2 linked regions of the Yarrowia lipolytica genome follow. The protein of the gene in region 2 interacts with the protein of the main gene of each other region in a biochemical or structural test. Links are inferred from orthologs where the notes say so. Each region holds a gene or a part of one and is shown on either strand. Other genes may lie near its edges.

Region 1 (3,781 bases), on a different chromosome or scaffold from region 2:
AACAATGGTTTGAAATGGCTGGCGTGCAGATCCAAGGACCGTAGTCAGACTGTCGTCAGTTGTACCTGCGTGTATCTGGCTCGTGACAATCAATAGAGATGGTGGAGTTTCCAGTGAATGGGTGTCCTCAAAGTTGGCGAAGCAATATAAAAGTCAACAGAGATCACTCTCGTCAGCTTGTCTGTACCCTTTCGTGTCGATACACTCGTCGGGACTACTAATAATACATCTATTGTAGCATCTATATGGGGTTAAATGGTCTGGGCCTTGTAAGGGACGGTGGCATCACCGAAAATATCCTTGCACTCGATGATTCGCAGCTCACACTGCTTCATGCTCTCGGCGTTGCCAATCTCGCCTCTCTTTATACCCGACTTTCGAGCGCTTTCATCGGTTATCTTGAGAATCTGCTGAACCACTCCCAGCACTTCTCCCACAGCCACAGACAGTGGGTCAGGAACTGGCTTGAGAGTGTGATAGGTGTAGAATCTGTCGGAAAGCAGAGCTGCAAATATATCGCCAGTGCCGGTGAAGTATGAGTTGATCTTGTTGAACTCGTAAATGTATGTTGAGGTCGATCCATCTTTGTCCAGCGTAGATCCTGCCGAGTAGAGGATATTGTCGTTATCGGAAAAGGACAGAGACGAAATGGCCACGTAAGGTGTCTTATAGGTAGTATGGAAGGCTGTCAGCGCCTGCTTGAGCGTTTCTCGGTCTGTGATCTTGATTCCTGTGAGCAGTTCTGCTTCAAACTGGTTGGGGGTCACCAACGTCACCTTGCCACTCTTCAGAATATCCTGATACACAGGAATGGTCTTTTCCGACACGTACATTCGTCCGGCGTCGCCCAGAACCGGATCCAGCAGCCAGATCAACGAAGGGTTGTTGGTTTTGAGATCTTCTCCCACCTTTCCCACTGCCTCCACTCCTTCCTCTCCAGGAACGTAGCCGGTCAGCAGAAACTCATACGACAGCCCTGCAAGTTTGAGGCCTTCGTAGACGTCGAGAATCTCCTGAGCAGACGCCTTGGTGCCCTTGACCGTGCCGTATCCCGTGTTGTTTGAAAAATGCACCGTGTTGAGAGCATCCACCTCCCAGCCCAAGCACTGGAGAGGGAAGGTAGCTGCCTTGTTGCCCACGTAGCCATGGACTACGTGGGACTGGATCGCAAGCAGGTGTTTCATTGGTGTCTGTGTTGTGTAAAAGTGGGATGGGGAGATCAGTCTACAAGTAGGCGCTTATCGGGAGAGATACACTCTCCTTCATGCCGAACTTTGTCTGCCTGGGAGAAGATGAGGTAAGTAGTAGGGGTTGGTTTAGTGGAAGTGGAGATAAACTCTCTAAGTGAATGTTTAAGAAGTAAACAAAATGTTCAACAAATTATACATTTGTCAAGTAATCCCACAATGGATGATGCAATGTGCTTCTCTCGCGGTAGTTTCTACAGTTTGCACGAAACAAAAACTACATGAGCTCGTAGATAAAAGAAACTGTTAATGATGAGCTATGAAAAAATGCCCCAGTTGACCAGATGGACATCAACTTCAGCAAACTAATTATTCTGTGCGATCTTACAATTATTTCACATCCAACGCCTCGCTTATGCAAACGACATAATTGGGTGTTTCGATGAAAGGACTCAACATTGGCTCATTCAGAAGGTGAGAATTTTACAGGGACGGGATTTGGCGGGTTATATATATTTCAACAATCACCCGAATTAATGCGAATAAATCTGAATTTTTTTTTCCGCTTTTTTTTCTATTTTATTCCGACTTCTACCTCTCTCTCCATTAAAGAACTTCATGCATGAGCTAAATTAATCAACGCGCGCAACACGTACTCGTAGCTCCGAACATCACCAGCAGCAAACCACCCATACACACAATGTCACTGAGAGGATTGGAGCTCGACTATCCACTATTTGTGGCCGAATTTCTCGACAAGGATCACGTGATCGTCGGCGGAGGCGGCGGAGAGGGAAACCACGGCATCCCCAACAAGCTGGTGAGTATCAGTGGTTGAACCGTGGTGGCAGGCATGCTTCTGGCGGGTTGGAAACAGACACAAACAAAGTGGACAAACTTTGCTCAATGTGGCATTCTGTGCCGTAACCAATTCATGTGATTCATGTGATTGGTCACTGGTTACGTGGAACACACTAACTCAGAGCATCGTCAAGATCAAGGGACCCGACATGCCCAAGAAGATCTCCGAGATTGAGCTGTCGAAAAAAGAAGACAATCCCACGAGCTTAGCAATTTTCGACAAGAACACCATTTACGCCGGTGTAAACAGCAACAGTGAAACTCTCAAGAGCGGCAAGAACCAGCATCTGCGACTCTTCTCGCTCTCGGACGACAAGGAGAAATGGAGCGAAACCAAGTCCTCACAAGTCTTTGAAGACGTTGGCATTCTCGACTACCAGAAGGGGGCGCTGGCTGTGCCCAAGCACAAGTCTGTGATTCTCAGCAACTCCACGGCTCCTGGATACATCTACTCCATTGATGTCAAGGATCACGCAGTCAACTTCCAGGAGAAGACCGAGAGTGAGATCAACGGCATGTCTCTGTCTCTGGACGAGTCCAAGTTTGTCTACGTGACGGACAAGACTCTTGTTGTAGCCAACTCGGCCGACGGAAAGCACATTTTCAACTCGGAGTCTATCAAGGGCGAGACCTTCTCCCGGGCTGCCTTCCTCAAGTCCTCGGCGGTGGTTGCTGCTATTGCTGTGGGAGCCAAGGATGGTATCAAGCTGGTCAAGATGCACGGAGACAAGTTCGAAGAGGTGTCATTCAGCTCGTACAAGAACCTCAAGAAGGTGACTGCTCTGGCCTGCCACGACAAGTACATCTTCACTGCTCACCAGGACCTCAGTCTATCCATTTTCTCCGCCGACAACCTGCGTCTGCTCAAACAGTACAAAGAGGCCCATGAGTTTGCCATCACCCGAGTTGCTCTTAACGAGGATGAGACCATGGCTGTCTCTGTGTCTGCTTCCAACACTCTCGGAGTCATTGATATCCCTGCCGATGGCAACTTTGGAGGCAACAAGCTGTTTGACATTATCATTCTGACCATTCTCATCCTGTTTGTGGCCATTGCTTACCAGAAGATTGTTGGAACCCGTCAGTGGTAGTGTTGCAGATCTAGTATAAGTAAGAATTGTATTTATGTGATTGACCAGCCCAGACTATTACGATTACTACTGCTCCAGTTCAATAAGCACTTGTACAGCTCTGAAAACAGTTTCTTTCTATTTTGTTCATTAGTTATGTATCACCTGCCCGTTAATATCAAAGCTGTAGTCAAATGTAGCTAAAGGGATCATGTTATGACATGCCCCAGTCCTCACCTCACACGAAGGAGAAGACGGTGCTCCGTGTACTGGCCCCAAGAGTCGTCAAACTCCTTCCAGTTATCATCGAACCTCCACTTGTCTGCTCCCTCCCACACTTCGTCGAACCAGACGAGAAAGTCGCGGGTCTTGGACATGACAGTGTCCTGGGTCTGATGAACTCGCACGTTCCGGATTACAGCAATTCCAAAGTCCTGGGTCTGAACCTGCATCTTGAGCTGGTTTTGGGCAATCGCTTTTCTCATTGACGTGTGTTTAGCGAAGCCAGACATGGTTCTGGTGGCTCGCTTTGCTGTGCCTTGAAACACTGGATGTGTTGAAGGATATCTGTCGGTGTATCTGGCTGGGGTATCTGAGTGGTAGTTTGCAAATCTGGCCTGGATATCTCTCATTGTGTTGGTTCAATGGCGGCGAGTGTTTCAG
Region 2 (3,224 bases):
AAAGTGGGTAGATGTGAGAGCTTGAAAAGTGATACTTGGATACTGTACGTATGTCCATACTGTAATGCTTCTAATGTGAGCTCCTTTGGAGAGACCCCATGATTATAATTTCTTCTTCTGTCTCACTATTAATGAAATGATCTACCACACAACTTCCAGAGATCCCTGTCTGTGACCCCCACACAGCTCTCATGAACGAATGTACAGTTCAAGACACACACTAGACAGTTCAAGACAGACACAAGACTGGCAAATGACAGCTCAGGACAGACGAATGATGGTTCTAGACATACAAGTGCAAATACTCTTAGCTATGGTCTCAGCTCATGTGAGACCTTGTTCATTCGTATCTGTGAGACATCTTGAAGTGTGTTAGCCGTGATAACAGAATAGCACTTTTCGACGACGACTGATTGTATCATACAAATGACTGACTCATCGATTGGTACTATGTGAACTAAACCATTGAAGGTACCAGTGGTTGAAAGGATGGCAGGGCGACTACAGATGTAGATGGCCCAACCCGATGCTTGTACTTGAAATACCCAAACTACGTAGGAACAAGTATGTAGCCGTTCGCAGGTCCATGTGGAATCACGGCTTTGCTCATCACAATCAGAATACAATAATTTATTCCCTCTAAACATACTGAGACAGCCATCGAATACCGTCTCCGTAGCCCTGCCGCATGACAATGGAGCACATGAAAATCTCGATGGGTCGGATGTTGCCTTCAAGAGGCACCTTGCCCTTACCGGTGGTCTGGTACAGTCCAAGGGCGTCCTTGAGCTCGAGCTCGGAAACGGCCTGGGGCATGTCGATCTTGTTTCCAAGAATCAAGAAGGGCACAGTCTTGAGCTGCTCAATGGCAAGCAGAGAGTCGAGCTCGGCCTTGGACTCGGCGAATCGAGTAGGGTCGGCGGCATCGACGAGGAAAACAATGCCGTTGACCTCGGGAAAGTAGTCCTTCCACACTCGTCGGGCCTGGATATGTCCACCGAGATCAAAGGTTGTGAATTTACAGTTGCCGATGGACAACTCCTCGGAGGTGGGGTGCACGGTGGGGTTAGAGACGGCCATTCGGTCGTTCTTGAGCATGTGCAGCAGGGTGGTCTTTCCGGCGTTATCGAGACCGAGGAAGAGCAGCTTGGCGTTCTTGTTCCATAGTCCGAGAGAGGACAGAACGTCGTAGACTAGGTTAGCAAAAGGGGGGCAAATCAAAAAGCGAGTGAAGCGAAATTGAGCGGCGATACGATAGCAGACTTGCTGTTTAAGCAGTACAATAACGGCACAGAGAGTTTGCTTGTGTTGAATACCACCGTATGACTGTTTAGGGTATAACAGCAGAGCAACCGTGTATCTTCAGGGGGTTGAGCAACCCTGAACGGCATCAAACCGCAACTTGATGAATGCAACAGGGGCAAAAAACGGCATCGGTACCTGTTTTTGAGTCTCTGGAACAGCCCTAAGTCGCCAGTCTCTGTTAACTGTGTTTTCACCTCCGGGATTTCAAGTCACGAAGCCCCCGTGTCGCTGTAGAGCTTGTCGTGTATCGTGTATCGCCACTTGATCTGATTTCTTTTTTTCCGCTAGCCTCCGCGTCTGTGTAACAAGTACACAAACACAAGCGACCAATCAGTGCCCCTGTATTCCATCCATACTCACACCAGTTGACAATCCACATGATTAGTAGTTGAAGAAGTAGGACAACGTGTGATGATAAGTTGGTGAGTGAGGTGGAATGTAGCAAAAAGGTTAAGCCGGCGGCTTCACGTGCATCCGACTGAGTCCAGGGTGGGGCTGACGCTTTGGTACTGGTATAGGAGGTGTTTGGGAGCAATAGAAGGTGCTGCAAAAGAGTATATATACTGTCCGTTTTTCCTCACATACAATTCTCTTCCTTTTTATCTCCACGCTTATCCTCTACAATCTCCCGTCATTGTGCAATCTCCTACCGATATGAATTTTGGCTGACACGTAAAACGGAAGCCAAAATCGTGCAGCACCAAGGTAAAAACCGTGGTCCTTTGGGGGTGTTGGGACATTACGTGTACATATTGTGGTGTGAGATCAATAGGCGAGCACGAGTACACTGTACATCAGGTGTGTGTGTAGACGTAATTGGTGCCAAAAGTTGTGGGACTTGGAAGTATTTATCTTGAGAGAGAACTGGAACATTCAGAGCAAGCTTCCTATTGTCCATTTATCATCTCTATTATACAATATTGTGTCCCCCGGAGATGTTTCTTTGAGCAGAGCATTTCCCAGCGCCATCACTCCTCCTACTTACCCTACCGAACACTACAAGTACACGTATGAAACTCTCTATTGCACTCTGCGTAGCACTACACCATGAAGCTCGAAATCAAGGTGAGTAATTGAGCGATTCACGCGGCCATGACGACGACTAACACAGCGACACTCGCAGACTCGTTCTGACCGAGTCAAGGGAATCGATTTCCACCCCACTGAGCCATGGTTACTCACCACTCTGTACTCGGGAGTGGCCCAGATCTGGAACTACGAGACACAGACGGTGGTCAAGAGCATCGAGGTGGCAGATGTTCCTCTTCGAGCCGGTCGGTTCATTGCCCGAAAAAACTGGATCATTGTTGGCTCCGACGACTTTATTGTGCGAGTCTTCAACTACAACACTGGAGCCAAGGAGGCCCAGTTTGAGGCCCACCCCGACTACATCCGTGTCATCACCGTTCATCCCACCCTGCCCTACGTGCTGACCGCCGGCGACGACATGTCCATCCGGCTGTGGAACTGGGACACAAACTGGACCATGGAGCGACAGTACCTGGGCCACAGCCACTACATCATGTACGTGGCCTTCAACCCCAAGGACACAAACACATTTGCCTCCGCATGTCTGGATCGAACCGTCAAGGTGTGGTCTCTGTCGGGCGCCTCCACCGTGTCGCGGCCCAACTTCACCCTCGAGGCCCATGCCACCGCCGGCGTCAACTTCGTCGAATACTATCCCGGTGCTGACAAGCCCTACCTCATCACATCTTCGGACGATAAGACCGTCAAGGTGTGGGACTACCAGACCAAGGCCTGCGTCGCCACCATGGAGGGCCACACTAACAACGTGTCCTTCGCTGTCTTCCATCCCGATCTGCCCGTCATCATCTCTGGTGCCGAGGACAATACCGTCAAGGTGTGGAACGCTAACACCTACCAGCTCGAGCAGACCCTCAACTACAGCTATGAGC

What was found.
Region 1: the proteins of YALI1_C30130g (region 2) and YALI1_A08502g are reported together in a solved structure, tested with the Saccharomyces cerevisiae proteins (2 studies listed by BioGRID, with this or other methods). The link is inferred for Yarrowia lipolytica from reciprocal best matches to the Saccharomyces cerevisiae genes SAR1 and SEC12.

What each region holds. Positions count from the first base shown.
Region 1 is NC_090770.1:848,608-852,388, reverse strand, and holds YALI1_A08502g (uncharacterized protein), read left to right. Parts: upstream 1-1,887; coding exon 1,888-2,007; intron 2,008-2,170; coding exon 2,171-3,139; downstream 3,140-3,781. Other genes in the region: YALI1_A08512g (uncharacterized protein), read right to left, coding at 252-1,184; YALI1_A08486g (uncharacterized protein), read right to left, coding at 3,352-3,750.
Region 2 is NC_090772.1:3,011,525-3,014,748, reverse strand, and holds YALI1_C30130g (uncharacterized protein), read right to left. Parts: upstream 1,685-3,224; coding exon 1,666-1,684; intron 1,194-1,665; coding exon 640-1,193; downstream 1-639. Other genes in the region: YALI1_C30119g (uncharacterized protein), read left to right, coding at 2,753-3,224. UniProt on the Saccharomyces cerevisiae protein: Small GTPase component of the coat protein complex II (COPII) which promotes the formation of transport vesicles from the endoplasmic reticulum (ER).